Drosophila melanogaster: one gene and its partners. The protein of the gene in region 1 interacts with the protein of each later gene in a pairwise test. Each region holds a gene or a part of one and is shown on either strand. Other genes may lie near its edges.

Evidence for each region. The genes of interacting proteins can lie anywhere in the genome.
Region 2: the proteins of Nacalpha (region 1) and CG5376 interact in a two-hybrid assay, tested with the Drosophila melanogaster proteins (one large-scale study listed by BioGRID).
Region 3: the proteins of Nacalpha (region 1) and CG3918 interact in a two-hybrid assay, tested with the Drosophila melanogaster proteins (one large-scale study listed by BioGRID).

What each region holds. Positions count from the first base shown.
Region 1 is NT_033778.4:12,756,726-12,762,898, forward strand, and holds Nacalpha (nascent polypeptide associated complex protein alpha subunit), read right to left. Parts: upstream 4,275-6,173; 5' UTR 4,080-4,274; exon of another isoform or gene 4,076-4,079; intron 4,068-4,075; exon of another isoform or gene 4,002-4,067; intron 3,800-4,001; exon of another isoform or gene 3,797-3,799; 5' UTR 3,791-3,796; coding exon 3,137-3,790; 3' UTR 2,968-3,136; downstream 1-2,967. Other genes in the region: mRpL18 (mitochondrial ribosomal protein L18), read left to right, coding at 1-389; ox (oxen), read right to left, coding at 471-506, 573-704; Dgkepsilon (diacyl glycerol kinase epsilon), read left to right, coding at 1,020-1,178, 1,237-2,244, 2,301-2,618, 2,674-2,793; CG12374 (uncharacterized protein), read left to right, coding at 5,428-5,589, 5,661-5,797, 5,860-6,173. UniProt on the Drosophila melanogaster protein: May promote appropriate targeting of ribosome-nascent polypeptide complexes. Required for correct localization of the osk/oskar protein to the posterior pole during embryonic development.
Region 2 is NT_033777.3:22,484,871-22,491,449, reverse strand, and holds CG5376 (uncharacterized protein), read left to right. Parts: upstream 1-2,494; 5' UTR 2,495-2,567; coding exon 2,568-2,765; intron 2,766-2,816; coding exon 2,817-3,239; intron 3,240-3,299; coding exon 3,300-3,368; 3' UTR 3,369-3,417; downstream 3,418-6,579. Other genes in the region: CCT1 (chaperonin containing TCP1 subunit 1), read left to right, coding at 119-191, 429-582, 638-1,528, 1,592-2,147; Pfdn5 (prefoldin 5), read right to left, coding at 3,472-3,669, 3,731-3,940, 4,058-4,156.
Region 3 is NC_004354.4:6,522,035-6,529,504, reverse strand, and holds CG3918 (uncharacterized protein), read right to left. Parts: upstream 5,042-7,470; 5' UTR 4,816-5,041; coding exon 4,711-4,815; intron 4,640-4,710; coding exon 3,779-4,639; 3' UTR 3,163-3,778; downstream 1-3,162. Other genes in the region: Agxt (Alanine-glyoxylate aminotransferase), read right to left, coding at 240-389; CG3342 (uncharacterized protein), read left to right, coding at 1,702-1,754, 1,829-3,137.

The DNA.
Region 1 (6,173 bases):
CCTACTGGCACACTTTGGAAATCAACACCAGCGGCCGCTATGTCAGCGGCGATGTCAAGCACTTTGAGAATGGAACCATCCTGAGTGCCAGCACCTCGGAATGGGCCATTAAACAGCAGTTGTACAAGACCAACGACACATCTGCGTTTGTAAATCTCGGCAGAGTGCTCGCACAGCGCTGCCTGCAGTCTGGGATCACGGAAATGACCTGCAACGTGGAGGCGGTACCGGGTAGCAAGCTGCAGAAGCTGCTTCAAACCATTCAGGATAATGGGGTGTCCTTCAAGGAACCCTCTCGCCTGCCCAACGAGCAGCCCTGGGATGAGAAGAGGCATGAGAAGCCCTGGGAGGTGTCGGAAGACGCACTGGAAGCACCCAAATCAAAATAACCAAAAGAAACCACACTTAGTTATCGTTTCGTTTAGAATAAACGTTGATTATTATTGCTAATTACAACAAATCATGTTAATTTATTCGTATTTGCCCTTGATGTCCTTCCAGAGTTTCTGCAAAGCGGGGAAATCTTGAGATTTGGCCAGGAAACTTTGCTTACATAACAGGATTATACTTACGCCTTTGTTGATGCCCTCGAAAATCGCAACCGACGTGACATCGAGAGCGCGCTCGAAGAAAAAGGCCGACGCGATGATGGCCACGGCGTAGGTGGAGGTGCGCTTGAACAGGGTGTTGTAGATAACCTTCATGTTGGCTAGATTTTTGTTAAAGACGTCCGATTTGTTCCCAATCAAACTTTTTCCACACGCCAAACTCACAGCTGATTTGTTAGGTTGAGTTGACAAGCAGTGTTGGAAACGTCCTGAATCTAAATACTAGTGTCACTCCGCCTATCGAAATTACGCATTAGTGCTTATTCTTGAAAAGTGTTTTTAATTGAGGTCGAAGGTGTTTTTTGTTGTCTTTGAAGCGGTCACACTGGTCGATGGGGCAAAAACAAACGATTTGTGAATATGCCAAATTACCAGGATATTTAGCGTAATTGGGCCTTATCTGCGTGGACCATGGACATAGGCACTATTGAGCTGAGCGTGGAGGCGCTGATAGGATCCCTGCTGGCCCTCAGTATCCTCTTTGCCTTCTGCCGCAGCCTGCTTTCCGAGGACTTTGTGAGCACCTTCAAAACACGTCACAGCTGGAAATCAATAAAAGTGTTGGAACAGGTGAGCGGATTCACTTGCCGCGAAAGAGATACCATAGGATACATGCCCTTCATTCTAGGCCTGCTTCTGCAATGTGTGCGAGATCCTGCTAACCCCCTCCGCAGGACTCTTTTGCGACTGCTGCGGCCTGTGCACCCATGCCACGCCCCCTTGCCAGCGGAGGGCGGACAGGGAGTACCGGTGCAAGGACAAGTGGTTGCGCAACGAGTCCTCCGTGCGGCACTTGTGGGTGCATGGCAATCTGCCTATGGGAGTGCATTGTGCCGACTGCAACGAGGAGGTGGATCACCATGTCAGCACCGATCCAGGATTATACGGATGGCGATGTGCATGGTGTCAGCGGTGCTATCATAACGATTGCTACACTCGCGCTGACTCCATGGAAGCCTGCGACTTGGGCGAGTTCAAGGACATGATCTTCCCGCCATACAGCTTTGTGGCCGCCCGAACCAGAGACTCGATGCGGCTCCACTTGGCCAGCATTACGCCGCCAGACATTGAGAACTGGGAGCCGCTTATTGTGATCGCCAACACCAAGTCGGGCAGCAGTACGGGTGCCAATGTGTTGTCCCTGCTCCGCGGTTACCTGCATCCGCTGCAGGTGATGGAACTGGGCTCGAGGGGTCCGCAGGACGCCCTGCAGTGGGCCGCCAAAGCCAGTCCTCGCCCGTGTCGCATACTGGTGGCGGGCGGCGATGGCACCATCGGTTGGGTGCTCAATACAATCTATACGCTGAATATCAAGCCCCAGCCCTCGGTGGCCATCATGCCGCTGGGCACCGGCAACGATTTGTCGCGAGTTCTGGGCTGGGGAGCAGAGCCGCCCTCTGTTCTCGACCCGGTGAAGATCCTTAGGAGCATACGGCGAGCACGTTCCGTGAATCTCGACCGCTTTGACCTGCAAATAGAGAAACTGCACTATCGACTGCCTATTCAGAGGCATCCCACGAAGACGATTCATGTGTACAACTATTTCAGTGTAGGTGTGGATGCGTACATCACTTACAACTTCCACAAGACGCGCGAATCTCGATTCTATCTGCTCAGCAGTCGAATATTCAATAAGGTAGGCTACAATCTAGTGTGCTTACTTAACGTTAACTAATGTATCCATCTCGTCAGCTGCTGTACTTTACCTTCGGAACGCAACAGGTGATGCAACCTGGCTGCGAACACATCGAGGAAAAGCTGACCTTGTATCTGGACAACAAGCCAGTGCAACTGCCTGAGCTGCAGGCGCTGGTGTTCCTAAATATCGACTCATGGGGAGCTGGCTGCAAGCTCTGCGAGCTAAGCAACGCCAATGGTGAAGTGCGCATTGTAAACTCCATCTCCGATGGTATGATGGAGGTGTTCGGCATTGTTTCCTCTTTCCACATTGCCCAACTGCAGTGCAATATAAGCAAACCAGTGCGAATTGGCCAAGCCAAGCAAATAAGGGTAAGCCCTGCAGTGATGGAACCGAATATTTGTTAACCAACAATCTTTTTTTTAGCTACAAGTCAAGGAGACCGTGCCAATGCAGGCGGATGGCGAACCCTGGATGCAGAGTCCAGCGGATATTCGCCTCTCCTCGCGTAGTCAGGCCCGCGTCCTCAAGCTGGCTGCAACCTGAACATTAATAGCTAATACAGAATAGAATCCCTTATGTGCCAGTCCCTAATCTCAAAGTACTTAACCTGGAACCTCAATGTATACTTAATCGAATTCGGTTAGCAAGGCAAGTAAAGACACCCACACCACCTAGTGGAAAACCGAAACTAGTCGAAAAATACACGCAATCGTATTTGATTTGAAATAAATCCATTTTTATTAAGACGCAATCTTTTGAAATATAATTAAATGTTCGACTGGTGTAACATGCTGCCCCTTGAGGGGCATGCACAACATTTGGGTCAGTATTATCGAAAGGCGGGTAAACAACAAAATCAGGAGTGCAGCTAACGCTGAAGCCCGCTCTAAAGCATAGTAAGCTCCATGATGGCGTTGACGATGTCATTGTTGTTGTTCTTCAGAGCCTTGATCGCCTTGGCCCTCGTCGTGTTGGCCTGCGTGATGACCAGCTCGATATCCTTCTCATCCACGCCGGTGTCATCGACATCCTCCTCGTCTTCCTCGGCAATGGGGGCCACCGATGTGGTGGCGCCCACGCTGTCTGCAGCGCCAGCAGCCTCCGGGGCCTTGAACTTCTCGGCGGCAGCCACCTGGGCCTGTTGCGACAGATCCTCGATCTTGGCCTCACCGAACACGATGTAGGTGTCGCTGTGGGGGTTCTTGTACACATCTGGGTTGTTGATCACGAACAGGATGTTCTTCGACTTCCTGATCGTCACCCGGTTGACGCCCTGGATCTGCTTAAGTCCCAGCTTCAGCATGATCTTCCTGGCCTTTTTCTCGCCGCGCGATTGCTTGGCCTTTGAGACGAGGTCGATGGGCAGACCGGTGGCACCTCCACCCAGCTGTGTGGTGGCCGCTACAGCCTCCTCCAGACCAGGCATGCCACCATCGGAGTCGCTATCACTGCCATCATCCTCAACGCGGACGTCCTCGGGTTTCGCCTCAGCGGAGGTGGAGGGCGCAGCCTCGCTCTTGATTTCGGTCAGTTCGGGCATTTTAATCTGTGGGGAAGCAAGTGGAGAACACGAGGTTAGGTAATTGCTTTGCAAATAGTATCAATTATGCTAAGGGAAAACATCTGGTGCCGGTTCAAAGGCTCAGCGATGTGTCTCAGCGGGGGTCAGTTGGTATTGATTTTTCAAGTTCAATTGGAAAATCAATAATTCGCTACCCCCGTAGATCTAACTCTTAACTATGATATTTTACATAATTTAAGGCGCTAATTCACTGATATTTCGGCAAAAGTTAAATTGAAGTCGAAAAATGCGGAGTACACACACCTACCGGAAACGAAGAAAAGAAATATGGCGGAGGGGAGTGTGACTGTCGCTTAGCACGATTTTTCTTAAATCCAAGCGATATATTCTGTCAGTGTGAACGTATGCGTATGAAGTATGACAAATTCAAACTTTGTGGCTACTCTATTTCATAATTACGTTACTTTCAAAAAAATGACAGTTTCAAAATACATTTTTAATCTTTCACCTCTATAGTAAAGCACTATGACTAAAAATTTATAATTTAATTTGACTATCAAGGCTTGCTGAAATAATCGAACTATAAACAATTATGGGAGTAGCTTAAAAAGCAATAATATCCCAAGAAACTAGTTCTTTTTCGTAATTATTCAAAGCAAGTGTTAAATATTTTTTCAAAGGTGTAGTTCACTGTTTGGGTCACCTTTGCTTGCAATCTTCTACTAACGTAATATTTTAGTTTTTGATAATGCAGTTATAATTTTACATAAAAGAAAAACATTAAAAACAAATTGATAACACCGCAACATTTTAAGTGGCTTACTCAAAGGGAAGGAAAGGAACATCACAGATTAGGCTCAGTGGCATGATTAATTTCTGCAGTGACTAGCAATAACTGCACTGCTTAAATAGTAAAATTAAACGAATGAATGGTTTCACAATCGAATGTTTGACGGCTTTTCTTCCCCACCCAGTCTGTCACTTGAAGATGACGATCTTCAGTTTGCCAGTGCATTCTACAAACGCTTCTCGAAGTGCTCCTTCACGTGCAGACGCCTGGAGGAGTATTTAATTAATTGAACATGCCTGATAAGGCGAGTGCCTCCACACTCGGTGCATGATTTCACTTACAAATTTGACTCCGCTGACTTTGTTAGAGGAAGTTCACCGAGAAAAATTTGATACCAGTTTATTGTCATTTATACTAGTATTTGTAAAGGTAACTTGGATATTCGATATAAGTTTTTACATGAACTTAAGAAATTGATAATATTAGTTAAATTTTAATTAGGTTATTTGCATATACTCTGGTCTTTCGAAAACAATACAACATAAAAAATTAGGTCATGTTTCGGGATAAGTTTATTTGGCCAAGTTGAAATATCTTAAATCTTTTTTATAATTACTTTAATTAAATTTTCTTGTGTATCAACCATCTTTAGACACGTCTGGTTCGAAAGACAAAGTCCAGAGCTACTTTGTGGTAGGTTGGATGGGCGATTAGATCAAAGGAGACACACGCCAGATGACTGATCCCCTATCGCCATTAGATAACGTTCCGTTTGAGTGGCCACTCCTGGAGCTAATAAAAAGCACGACTGTGAAGGGACTCCTCACAGTGAACGCTGTAACGTTCAAGACACCAAACCTCCGAAATGAAACTACCAATCCTTCTGATAACCCTTGTGGCCATGGTGGCGGCCAAGTCCGCACCTGGTCGCATGGCCGCCCGGTACGACCACTTCCGTATCTATCAGCTGACCATTGAGACGAACTTGCAGATGGAGGAGCTTAAGAAGATTCACGAACACATCTCTGTAAGTACATACAAATTCCATTCCATTTCTGAAAATCATATATGTATGTCTTGACTTGATCCAATTTAAAGGTGCACTTCCTCAACGAACTGGGTGCTGTTGGAAACAAATACAATGTGATCGTTGGTCCCTTGTTCCACAGAGCCCTCGAGAAGACCCTTAAATTCCTCGAAATTGTTTACGAAGTGATTGTCGACGATCTGCAGAAGTGAGTACTAGATTCTCAGATGAGTTATAACATTACAAAAATCTACACTTGAATCCTCGCAGATTGATAGATGAATCCTCTGTTGGCGACGATTCCCAGATGGAATGGGAGACCTACCACACTCTGGACACCATTTACGATTGGATCGATCAGGAGTGTGCTGCCCACGATTTCCTGGAGTGCAAGGTGATTGGACAGTCCTACGAGGGTCGCGACATCAAGAGCATTAGGTTGTCGAAGCGTTCGGGCAACAAGGCCATCTTCCTGGAGGGCAACATCCATGCCATGGAGTGGATCTCGTCGGCCACCGTCACCTTCCTGTTGAACCAGTTGATCAACTCCGAGGATCCGGAAATGCAGCGACTGAGCGAAGAGT
Region 2 (6,579 bases), on another chromosome or scaffold:
GACATCGGGTTTTTGTTCATCTCGAAGTCTTAAAGTGAGTCAGGCGGTTTAACGTGCGGTTTTTCAGCGTATTTGATTTATCTGTTTTTTATTAAAAGTCGCGGAAGAACTTAGGAAAATGTCGACCCTGGCCTCTCCTCTGTCCATTGCTGGCACCCGCCAATCCGGCGCATCGGTGCGCACACAGAACGGTGAGAATCCCGGGGTTTTGTCAACATCTGCGGTGCGTCTGCCGGCGGAGCACGTTTCTTACTCATCGCGGGTCACGCTCTCCACGAAGAATGTTCCGGAACCAACCCGGGGGAGGGCGATCTTATTTTAATTGGATTAACAAAAAAACTCATTGAATCCAAGGAGCTACAAGATCCTGTGGACAAGCCTATGCGAAGTGAGGTTATGACTACAACTCGGCTTTTATATGCTTTCAGTTATGGCCGCTCTGTCCATATCGAACATCGTGAAAAGCTCCTTGGGACCCGTGGGTCTGGACAAGATGCTGGTGGACGACATCGGCGATGTCACAGTGACCAACGATGGAGCCACCATTCTGCGACTGCTGGAGGTGGAGCACCCGGCAGCCAAGTGAGTTGTTGATGTGGGAAATCTTTCAAAGAAGTACTCATTTCTAAATTTTAAGGGTCCTGGTTGAGCTGGCTCAGCTGCAGGACGAGGAGGTCGGCGATGGCACTACCTCGGTGGTTATCCTGGCCGCTGAGCTGCTGAAAAACGCCGACGAGCTGGTCAAGCAGAAGATTCATCCTACCTCCATAATCTCCGGCTACCGCATTGCCTGCAAGGAGGCCTGCAAGTACATCTCGGAGCATCTGACCGCTCCCGTTGATGAGCTGGGCCGCGATTCCCTGATTAACATTGCCAAGACCTCGATGAGCTCCAAGATCATTGGTGCTGACGCAGAGTTCTTCTCAGCCATGGTTGTGGACGCTGCCCAGTCGGTGAAAATCACAGATCCCCGTGGGCAGGCAGCCTATTCGATTAAAGCCATCAATGTCCTGAAGGCCCATGGCAAGTCTGCCAGGGAATCGGTGCTGATTCCCGGCTATGCCTTGAACTGCACAATTGCCTCCCAGCAGATGCCCAAGAAGATTGTGAACGCCAAGATTGCCTGCCTAGACTTCTCGCTGCAGAAGACCAAGATGAAGATGGGTGTCCAGGTCTTGATCAATGATCCCGACAAGCTGGAGGCTATTCGTGCCCGTGAGCTGGACATTACCAAGGAGCGCATCAACATGATCCTCGGAACCGGTGTCAATGTAGTACTGGTTAGCGGCGGCGTTGATGATTTGTGCATGAAGTACTTCGTTGAGGCTGGAGCCATGGCTGTGCGTCGTGTGAAGAAGAGCGATCTGAAGATCATTGCTAAGGCTACCGGCGCCGCCTTTATTACCTCGCTGACCAACATGGACGGTGAGGAGAGCTTCGATGCCTCAATGGTGGGAGAGGCCGCAGAGGTGGCCCAGGAGCGCATCTGCGATGATGAACTTATCCTCATCAAGGGCACTAAGGCACGGTAAGTGCAGATTATATCATGCAGTAACATAGTTTGCTTTATCGTATCCCTATGCCTTTTTAGTGCTGCCGCATCCATTATCTTGCGTGGTCCCAATGACTTCTACTGTGATGAGATGGAGCGCTCCGTCCACGACGCTCTGTGCGTGGTGAAGCGTGTGCTGGAGAGCAAGAAGGTTGTAGCCGGCGGCGGCTGTGTGGAGGCTGCTTTGTCGATCTACCTGGAGAACTTTGCCACCTCGCTGGCTTCCCGCGAACAGCTGGCCATTGCCGAATTCGCAAAGTCGCTGCTGGTCATTCCCAAGACTCTGTCCGTGAACGCGGCCAAGGATGCCACTGATCTAGTGGCCAAGCTCCGCTCCTACCACAACTCCAGCCAGACGAAGCCCGAGCGTTCGGATCTTAAGTGGACCGGTCTGGATCTGATCGAGGGAGTGGTAAGGGACAACAAGAAGGCTGGAGTTTTGGAGCCCGCCATGTCCAAGATCAAGTCGCTGAAGTTCGCCACGGAGGCCGCCATTACCATTTTGCGTATTGACGACATGATCAAGCTGAATCCGGAGGACAAGAGCGGCAAGAGTTACGCCGATGCATGCGCTGCCGGCGAGCTGGACGGTTAGACATTCTTCACCGCGAGCGAAGCACATTTCTTCTATCTTGTTTAGGCATTTAATTTTAATCAAATCACTCACTTTCAATTGTCGCCCCATTGATTGTAACAACAATTTAATTGTGTTGCCCTTCGCGATCTGTATTAACACCGCACATCCGCAATCCTTTCTCATCCATGCTTCAATGTATAATAAACTGATCTTCAGAATATGCTGAGGCGTAAACTAAATTGGAGGGAAACAGTTTGTTATTTCGGGAGAGCGATCTGGCCAAGAGCAGGCAGAGAGCGATCCGGAGAGTGGGATGTCCTATAAATAGAGCGTGCATCTATTTGGTCTATTAATACAAAAAGAAAACACATCCCAAAAAGCACGGAAAACGCACATTGCTCTACGAATTTTTATCATTTAAAAAGAATTCTTCATAAAATGGCCGATCATAACGAAGATGAAGCTGTTGGCGGTGACCTAAACAACAATATAACAGCAAATGGGCAGGAGGAAGTGCGTCAGCCGGAGCAGCCGCAGAACGAACTGCTGGACATGGTTTTCACGTTGGAAAGCGAAAAACAGGCACTACTAGAGGAGTCTCGCAAACGGATCGGAGCGCTCCGCAAAGACTTTGAGGTTAGTTACTCGTCTCCACGGGCTGCACCCACTTACTGACCCTGATTGCAGGAAGCCAAGGCGGAAAATGAGCGTTTAAAGCGGAGAGTGGTCCAGTTGGAGCAGTCGCTCAAGCAGTCCGTCATGCTGGGCGGCACAGATGCTCCCAAATCACGACAAGAGCAGGAGGAGCTGCTTCTAAAGGCCAAAACCCTGCTGTTCGAGAAGACCAAGGTGAACAAACAGCAGGAGCAGCAGATATCAGTGCTTAGGACACAAGTAGACTCGATTAAGGATGTGCTGCAGGTGACCAAGGACATGTTGCAGCTAAAGACCGCCGAATGTGATCACACGCAGGCTCGTCTGGAGAAGAGCCAGCAGTGGATCAAGGCGGAGCAAGACAAGTGTGTGCTCACGGAGAAGAAACTAGCCATCTCCAAAGGAGTGTATGACAAGCTGCGTTCGGAGTACGACACCCAGTCACAGATATTCAAGGTGCCTTATAACTCGAGTCCAATGATATACTTGATATACTATTACCTTCTTTCCCTACAGGATCTTAAGTCCGCGTACGAGCAGAAGGTCAAGGTTCTCACCAAGGCTTTGGCAGAAGCCAAGAAATAGCTGAACAATTTAATAAACTACGTTAATTAAATGCACACATCTCGTTAATAAGTTTAATAATTTAATGCTTTCCGTGTCTCGTGTCTCTGTCGTTCTCCGTAGTCTAGGAGCTCTGGGTAACCGCCGGCTGCGATTGCTGCTGCGACTGCAATTTCGCTGCAGCAGCCTGCTTCATCTCCAGCACACTCATCACTGAGTTATAGAAGCGCGTCTTTTGCAGGTGGATCTTTTCGATTTTCTCGATCTGCTCCTGCACGTACTCCACGCGTCGCTTGAAGTAGTCTTTGGAGCCTTCCAGATCCTGTTTGAGAAACAGATGGCAATCAATAAATATTCTAGGTTCGATTGGAAATGTAAATCACCTTTTCAATGTAGTAGCCGGTGCCGATGTCTATGACGAACCTGTTGAGATCCTTGACCCGTCCTGGCACATACATACTGCTGGTCAGGGGCACCAGGATCTGACGGTTCTCCCAATTGGGTTGAAAGGTTCCCAGCGCCTCCTTGGATCCGGCGTACTTGGCTTGACAGCCGTGAAGCGTCGACAGCGAGTCCTGTACGTTGGTAATCTCCTAAGGATCACAAAAATGTACCGATTTTAGAAGCATGTGCCAATTGGGGCGCCCCTCCTCCAGAAACCCCCTCCGCGAGCACACTTGACTCATCACACACCCACATGCGGAACGCACCTGCTCGAACTCCTGCTTGATCTGAATCAGCTGTTCCGGACTCAACTTGGTCAGGTCGATCATCTCGGACTTGGCGGGTGCGCTTGGGGTGGCAGCCATTGCTAGTGCTTACACTTATAATTTACAATTCCACTTTTATTTTATTCAGTCGCCGTATAAGGTTGCCACCTTTGCGTATTCAACTCAACAGGGATGTCATGAAGCTGGGTCAGAAAATATCGATTTCACGGAAGCAATCGGGAATCGAATGATTCGTTGAAATAGTCGGTAGTCCAGTCCCGCCGACGATTTGTTATCGAGTACTAAGCGCGAAGTAAAAATTTAAAAAAAAAATCAGTGACTTCTGAATCTACAATATCTTTTGAGTTTAAAGACAGATCTTACTCAGCAAAAAAGCATTAACCAAACTTGTTTTTCAATTATAGTTTTATTGTATTTATTATATGCAATGTTATAATTCTGTGTTTTGTCAGTCATTCTGTATTTGTATGCGTTTTACAATTTTTGTTTTTGGTTTTCTCGTAAATTATAAAATCTAACACAAAACAAAGCAATTTCTTTAACAATCACTGCCGCTACATATACACGTTACAATTTGTTAAATATATATATATTTATATATATATAAGTAGGCACAGCTCAAGCGCCGCGCATCCAATACATGTTCATATACATATTCTCTGTTATATGTGGGGTGTTGTATGTCGGTTTTTATATATGTATAGATTAGATAACAATGATTTTAAGCCTAAGTAGAAGTAAGTTTTAGTTCCGATACTTGCGATCGTTCCCCTCTATATGCGCTCCCACTCGCAATCGCTGCTCCTCCGATCCTTGAACTATTAAGTTATATGCTTTAACTATGTTATTTTACCCATACAACTAACTGTACTCGTCCTTCGCGATCCTCCCACTATATCATACATACATAACATTTACCTTGATTTGGTTTTGATCTTAATAAAATGTAATTCGTTTTGAAACAATGAAGAAGATCTTGCTTTTGAGGGCGTGTCGATTCGATTTCTTAATCGCGGATATTTTAAGCTCCCCATCTGGATTTTGGATTCAATATCGTGTGCTCGCTGTTAAATCGCAAGGCAAATTTGTATAATTAGTTATATATAATTTGGTTTTCTCTTGAATCGAAACGAATAAACGTTAGTGGTTTACTTTAAATGCAGAGTTTTCATTGTGCAGCATTAACATTGTGAAGAGATAGAGAGAAAGTTGTCGGGAGAGAGTGTTACATTTATAAGTGGGAATGGTTTTGGTTATCAACAGCGTTAAAATTTGTGGTTTCTTTTCGTTTGGTTTCATTATCAAATCGAAGGGACGTAATTCGTAATAATAATCATTGATCGTTAAACATACTCGTACGTTATATGGTATGCATGTATGTATATTTTGTATAGATGTACATTTATAAATAGTATAGTTTGAATGTATGCGTGTATGTCCTGTATATATAGTTGTGTTTATGTACTGTACTGTACTGTATGTACTGTATGTACTGTGTTTCGCTATGTACTTGTAATTGTAATTGTCCTAGGTGTTCATTTCAGCTAGATTCGCTAGTTTGTCTCGTGTTTTCGCTTTCGCTTCCTTTTTGTATACAAGATAAGGGTTTAAAAAACTCGAAAATATATCAAAAGTTTCTTGAAATGCAGTATATATATGTTTTTTAGTTGTTAAATATATATATATATATTCATGTATATATAGTACTTTCCTAGGTATTTACAGCATACCTTGCCTTGGTTTCCATTAAGAATTCGAGAGAAGTATGTCCAGTAATTTCGCTAGTGATCGAATGCGTGAGTTGGTGATTGTGTGAGTGAGGTGAGTGTGCGTGTATTAGTAGTAGTATATCGAGTGTATATAGGTATTTTGTATATCTAATCCAAAATGATACACTAATTGGTATTGATAGTGAGACAAAAATTTTAATATAGCGCATCAAAATGATATATGCGATTATTAATATGTATACAGAATTTAATGGCGGCTTGCTGAATATCGAATTTCGCGTCTATGTATGTGTGCTTGTGTAATAGTATGTGGGTGTAAGCTGTGAGTGTGCTGGTGACTGCTGATTGTGTATACGTCACGTGGGCTTCGAAAAATACGCTTAAAGCTGCTATAATACTGTAAAATTGTTGCTTGATTTCCTCATTAGTCGACGGTAAAGTAATGTTCGCTCACATTGAATAGCAGTTGTTGTAGAAAAGCTAGGTAGGTTCGCTTCAGTGTCTTCGAATTTTGCGTGTGTGTTAGAGTGTTTCGTGTGTAAGTGTGCTAGTGTGTGTGTCTTGTCTTTTCCTTGATATGTCTGAGTTCATATTGCACGCAGATCGGTGACAATATTTAGTCTCAAATACATATAAAAAGTATATGTGTGGGGCTCGGGAGTGGAAGGGACTAACTCAAAGTAGCATCGAGTTGCTGCACGCAAACGAAAAAGTCGCATCACGTATATGTCAACCAAATCGTGGGTTTCTACTGTTTCCTCCGTATTATCG
Region 3 (7,470 bases), on another chromosome or scaffold:
CATGGGGGGATCACTAATATTAGATTGCTATAAAGTATAAGAGATGTGCTGGTTTCACTCGACTGGCTAGCCCACAGATCTCTGACCCAGCTCAGCAAATGTATCTCAATGTTTCACTTCGTTCAGATAAGGTACAGTGCGGCCCATGAGTATATGGACTTGGGCTTAACTTTTCGATATAATTCGAGTATTAAGCTCAATCTTGCTAGCACTTTTGTGGTTTTAAGAAGATATTGTACCTGCAGGCATTCGGGATGCATGTGACCCAACACCGGATTGCTCATGGCCTCCAGGACGCGATGGGAACAGTTGGAGGGTCCGGGCCCCATCAACGTCTTGCTGGGCACATAGAGCGGTCGCTTGAGTACAAGTGGCGGTGGTACCTCCATGGTCTTTGTTCCCTATTTACGTAATCAGATCTCTGTGTTTACGACTGCCTTATCGCCTTCTGCTCTCTAATCCGCTGTGCCAGGTAGAATGGGTGTTACTACTGTTTGGTGATGGGAGTTGGTTTTTATGGGCTGTCTCTCTCGGTGGCTGGCCAAGATCGGACTGAAACGCTTGCCGGGCTGCTGGCCACTTTATAGCGCACCGGATCGCAGCTTATCGCCGCAATTTTCGCCGATGAACGCACTTGAACAAGTGGTAAATGATGCGCTCTCCCGCTTATCAAGGCATCAAGATCGAGAGCAACTGCGTCGTTGGCGGCACAGAACGAAATTTGGAATAAGAATAATAAGTTAAGACTGCCATTTGATGGGTCAAAAAATCATACACAGTTTTAAGACAAGATCTTTACGAAATAATATGACTTACTACTCAATTAATTTCATTGTTAATCTGAAAGAAGTACCATTTTTTGTTTGCAGTGTGCTGCTGCTGATTCTTTGAATGGCCTTGGGAAGGTTGGCGGACCAATGTCTATTGTGAAATAAGAAATCCAGCGAATTCAGCAAGACGAACCTTGACTGTGGGTACGTATACGTAATGTAGCAACTTCTTTTTCGAAGCTGGAAGCATCTGCAGAGTGCAGAGATCAAGATCTAGCATCTAGATCTTAATTCTCTCGAAATCTCAGCCCACTGACAACTAACATTTGGGTTGATAGCAGTGCCCGTATCGTCAGTTTTTCCATTAGCGATTTGGAGTGGAAAACACATCGTGACCAGGAGGTCAACCGCCAATAATACAAATGTCGTATTGAGTGGCCGAAAATATTTATTACCATTTCGCTGGTGGTGAAATTAGAATCAAAATAAAAACAAAAACATAGATTTAGGAAAGTGATAAGCAGTCAAATTAGCAGGTCGTGACTATAAAATTTAAATGTTCGTTTAAATATTGATTGATTTTTCCATATTTAAGGCACAAGCATCTTTTTAAAAACATTGTTTCGAATGTAGAAGTAAGTTCAGTTTGGTTTTAATATATTGAATTAATTATATTGAAACGAATTGAATATAGAATATATATTCTATTACAGTTGACTATATTAAACATATATATGTATAAATATGTTTATTTTATGGCCTTTTTGCTTAATATTTAGTTATAATATTTTATAATTTTCCTGAAAGCAATTCACCGGTGGAAACAAGTTTTCTTCGTTTTGGCGCTTGGTCACACTTTCTGTTTCGGTCAAAACAAACTGAACAATAGTTAATGTTTTTAAACATTTTCGATGCGACTGCATAATTAGGCATGGAAATCGGCAACGATCAGTCCTATCAGGACTTCTTCGACAAGTTGCGAAGGTGAGTCTGTTTCTGGACGGGATTGGGACACTTGGCACAGTGGTATATACATATTAAATATATATGAACTCCAGTGAATCGGGTCCTCGCAACTTGCGCCAGATCTTTGAGGACGACGATCGTCCGCTGGCGAACGAATCATCCAGCTTGCGCTATCAGCCAGGCAGCTCCAAAAAATTGCAGGCTGGCAAAAGACCGGCCATGACCAGGAGTAGCACCCAGGAGACGGGTGATTCACCGCCTGCCGCCTGGAACACGGCCATTGCCAAGGTGGTGCATGCCTATCGGAGCAGCGAGAACGTTGGACGCGTCGGCCTGGCCCTCTCGATTCTGGGCGAGATGGAGGCCAGCAAGCTGATTGTCTACCGCAGCAAGAGTCAGGTGCTGACCACGCTGCAGTTGACACCGCGTGGCGGCAAGGTGATACTGCGCGAATCCTATCTGCAGTTCTACGATGACGAGCAGCGCTTCTGGAGCCTGCGATTCGACAAGGAACCGGATGAGAAGGAATTCATAACGTTTATGGTCAAAAACAAACTGCCAGTGGAGCACTATCTCAGCGAGATCTCATCCTCCAGCTCGGCATCGCCTTCGCGTGAGGATTTATCTAAGATCCGAACTAAAGCAACGGTCACAAAGACGACGCCTAATCCGCCACAGCCGCAACCACGTTCCCGCGTAACGCTGCCAACGCTGGAGAAGGCGGACGATGAGGAACGCGAACGGGAAACAGAGACACCTTCCAATGAGGATGTGATAGTAACGCCAGTGCCGCGACCCATAGGTTCGTCAAATGCTCACAGGAAACTCAGTGCCAGTTCCCTGGCGGTGGCCAACGCTTCAACGAGCAGCGATACTCCGTTGGCTGTGACGACACTGGACAAATATCTAGACGAACAGCGTGCCTCGGGTGCGTTAATGGAGCACAAGATGGACGCCATTCTGCAGGCCATGAATCGCATGGGCGGCCAGTCGAGTGTTGCGCCCAAGAAGCCCAGTGATCCGCTGCTGGAACGCGACAGCGAGGACGAGATGCTGGAGCTGGAGCAGAAGCTGCTCAACTTGAAGCGGGAGAATCGAGCGCTAATGCGCAACCTCAAGGCACGCGAACAGGCGCTGGAGGATCTACGCTGCTCGGCGTGCGCCCTTTGCGAGGAGCTACTAGTCCAGAATGGCGAGCTCAAGTCGCAGAATGCCCAGCTGTTGTTAGCCAGCCAGCATATTTCCGATTCAAGCACAGCTGCTTCGCCTGCCCATTGCCGCAATTGCGAGTCGTCTTCCCGGCAAATAGCCAAAATGCAGCTACACATTTCCGCACTGCAGGAAGCGCTGCGAATCTTTCAGAAATCAGGCGACTCCAGCTCCAGTTCGGGTCGGTTATAGCACCTAACGTAGGCGTATTATATATGTTCGGTATTACTATCGAAAAGTGTATTAAATCATTTGTTAGGTCGCGTAACATATCCACAAATACAAGCCAGACACTATTAGCTATCTTTAAGTCATTAGATTGCCATGTTATTGGGCTCATTTACAAAGCGATTTTCTAATCTATTACAACTATTATTACTAAATGTGAGATATAAAATATGTTGCGGAAGATTATAATTAATAGCAACCCATGCTTTGCTCTCTCTCAATTATGAAAAACTCCGACTTCCTCTTGTACAAACTAATTTGTTGTATTTGCAGCACACATCGGGCTGAAATTTAAGGTATAGGGACAAGTCTACGGTTTGCGCGTCTCATAATCCGTGGGAAGAGTTCATGGAGAAGTTGTTTTGGGGCCTGGAACTGGAAGTGGAACTGGCAGTCTCTCTGTGGAAGTGAGGAGCGGAAAGGATGGGCTGGCGGTCCTGCTCCTTTACGTTTTTACGGCTAAAATGGAAAGCGAGCTAGTTTGCGGAGCGAGTGCTTTGGGAGGCAGCTGTCTATCCATCCTGATGCTGATCCAGATCCAGATACAGATCCACATCTAGATTCTCTTGCTGATCCAGTTAATCCTTGTTTGTTTCTTTTCTTTCTCAGTAGGTGCTGCTGTCGCTGAGGCTGCTCAGGTAGCTGCTGCCGGCGGTCGGAGCACCGGATCCGCCGGCACGATGTCGCTTCCGCTTCGCCTTGGTCTTCTTGCGTCGCAGCATGGCCGTGTCCGTGGACTTGCGCTTGTACTTGCCCTGCCGCTTCTTCTTGCGTCCGTACTCATCCGATTCACTGGTGCTGGACTCCTCGTTGTCGCTGGAATCCGATTCAGACGAATCGCTCGATGTGGAGGAGTCATCACTCGAATCATCGCTCGATGACGACGATGAGCTGCTGGTTGATGACGAGGAGGAGGAGGAGGACGACGACGACGACGACGAATCCGAGCTAGAGGTGGAGGATGATCGTCGTCGTTTTGACTTCTTGTTGGTGCTGCCGCTGCTCGGTCGCTTGCCTGTTTTGGTTTTGGCCAGCTCGCTGCTGCTGTTGCTGCTGCTATTGTTGGTGTTTGTGGTCTTTTTGTGCTTCCGGCTCCTCTTCTTGCCATGCTTCTTGTGCCGCACCGACTTCTTGTCCTTGCTCTTCTCGGCCAGCTTGTGGCTGCTCTTTGAGTGGCTACGCTTCTTGTCCTTGCTCCGGCTACCCTTCTCCTTCTCTTTCTCCTTCACCTTCTCTCTCTCCCGCTCCCTTTCCCGCTTCTTCGCCTTGAGCCTGTCGCGGCTCTTGTCCTTGCTCCTGTCCCGTTTGCCTGCCGCGGGAAGCACCGCTGGCTCCGTTGGCGGCGGCACCTCAGCGCCACTCTTCAGCTCCTGGGCTCTCAGTTCGGTGAGCGGCGTAAGGTAGTCCAGCTCCGAGTCTGAGCTGGTGCTCTCCACATCCAGCAGGATCTCCTTGTTGGGGTCCACCTGTTCAGGATAGCGGTTAGCGGCGGATAAAAGCAACATAAACATGCGGTCTATGCGATTGGTGCGCTTACCTTGAGAAAATTGCGGCATTGGTAGGTCAGGTGACCGGCGTAGCCGCATTTCTTGCAGGCAGCCCGCAACGTATCCTTGTTGACGCTCGCCAGTGGGAAGTTCATGGTTGCCGCTCCGCTGCCGGTCGTACCTTTGCGGCGTTTGGCGGGCTGGGGCTGGGGCTCTGGCGTTGGGCGGGCTTGTCCACTGACTGATTATTATTTCGCCTCGCGCACCATTAATTGATATGTGCACAACAACAACAACAACGATACCAACAACAATGGGGTAAAAATGAAACGCGAGTTGAAGTAAATCGCGTTTTTAGTGCGGCCATGCGGCCGCGTTTCGAACATACCATGCCGGCAGCACACCGGTCCGCTTAGCCGTGACAAGCACCGATAGGCTGCGGTATGCTAGCTGGGGTGACACTGGCACGGAAATACCGTTGCCCGAACAAGAGCTGGTCACACTGCACGCCAGCACGGCTTAGTTGTTTACCAAATTTGAAGCTCTACGGTTGATCCGCGCATGAAAGGGCGCCATAAAACAATAAATAACTTGAAGAGACGAATCCGCGAAACGTTTAACAGTTATCATAATATCCAGCCTATTGGCGTAGTTCGCTGCGCCGACTGTGTTATTAACTACGCTGTTTGTTTTTGTTTTTTGCAAGTGCTTTTGAGTGCCGAAGTTAAAAAAAAAGTCCGTGCGTAAGCCAGCGCCAGTTCAATCCGCCCGCTTGCGTGAAGGACCCAGTTTTAGCCATGGCCCAAACAGAGGCCAAAACCACGTGCACGCGGCGTCGCCGCCAGTTTTTGCCCCATGGCCAAAATAGGCAGCAGCAGCTGCAGCAGAAGCGGCAACAACAACATTGTTAGCGGTTTCCACTCAAAAATATACCGTGTGCTACATAATGCCGTTAGATATTTGTAACGGCTTAGATCGCATACCGTTAATCGTGGATTGTGGCACTAACTGAACTGGTCGTACGATTGTTGTGATTATCCTTGCTGCGGATCCCGACTATTAAAAGTGGGGATAAGCATTGGCAACAGTTGGCAATTCGTAAGCAGTCATCAGGTGAGTGGAGAGTTCATTATAAAAAAATTAAATTGAAAGTGGTATAAAATTAAAAACTATGCACACTGCAATCGTTTAAAACGAATACGGTTAATTAAAAGAAAATGATTGCATAGTTAATTTTGTGCCATTTAAGTGTCGGCAGTTAATTCATTCGAGTGTCAAATTTCGTACGGTGCGACTGTTTTATTGTCGGCCAGTGTGACCAATGTGCATTGCAATGCATTCATCGCCTAGGCGACCAAAACCTCGGCGTATTAATTACAAACAAATTAAAAATTTTGCCTCGCCCGCTGCCCACGCCTTAATTAAAGACGCCAAAGAGTAACGGTAATAACCGACAACGGGAACGACGACCGTCGGGGGTTTGCGTTATTCGTTATTCGTTATGCCTTATTGTTGTTTTTGTACTGCTGAGGATGCTGCACGTTGTTGCACTTGTTGTTGTTGCTGGCGTAATTGTGCCAGACATCGTCGCTCATTCTCGCTAACGCTCAGACTGCACACTGAAAGAAAAGCTGGAGAGTGAATGCATCTAGTGGCTGCATTTCCGTATTTAACGAGCAGTGTGACCATTGCCTGCCAAGTAGTAAGCTTTAGCTTTGCATTTTTCATTAGTATGACATAGTTGGTTAGAGATAAAAGAGGATTGGTCTAATCTTTATAAATTGAAAGCATCAGCTAAAAGTATTAATATTTCAACTCCTGCACTTAAAGCATTAAGATTACCCGTTTTCATTTTGTATTTCTTTTTTTCCAAGTGGACCCCAAGCGCCACCCCCTAAAATCACCCGCACACGCCGCACCCCGCCCCGCCCCGTGGCCACATTTTCTTCTGGGTCCCTGCCTGCTTTTGTTGGCAGGAAAAAATAATAAAAGCTAGGGGCTGAAAGGAAAGGGGGGAAGGGGAGGGATAGCGGCAGGCAGATGGAAAACTGTGTCGCTTTCGCCTGCGTGCGGTGACTGCAAAACTGTTGCCCAAAACAAATGACTAGAAACATGGTTGTGCCCCACTCTGCCACGTCCGTCCGTCTTCGCCATCGCTGATTTATGCCAGCGGCAAAATTATGAAAAATTGTTGCAGCTAAATTTAAAAGAAATCTGAAAGTAAACACAACCGAGAAACGTACACCAACGTGGCGAAAATAAATAAATTCGATAATTTATCCATAAATTCTGGACTCGCAGCATTTTCGGCGTCAACGGCGGCTATCGGCCTTGGCTACCGTTGGTGCTAGTCGTGCTAGTGGTAGTAGCAGTAGCAGTGGCAATTGTAGTTCAACCATTCCACCCATTCAGACGGCCATCCCTCTGCTTTGTAGCAATTAACATGTGCAAATTTCTGGCCACATAAATTTCCGTAAACTGTTTGTTGCTCCCAGCGCCAAATCTCTGCGTCTGTCGGGAGGAGCCATAAATTTCTGGTCGCGATGGATGGGGAGTGTCCAGGAGCACAAGATCTGCAGATATAGATGGTAAATCTTTGGAGGCAAAGGCCAGATAAAGCAAGGAAATTGGCCAAGGAGATCAATTCTCAGAACGTAAATTACACGGATTGGGATTTTTATCTATCCAGCTAGACTGGCCTTGAAATGGCACAACCAAACCAATCATAAATTTAAGTCTTTTATTTATGATATATTCAAAGATTTCCGATACCGATTCCAAGCCAAGGTCTGCTAATTTAAAGCAAGAGA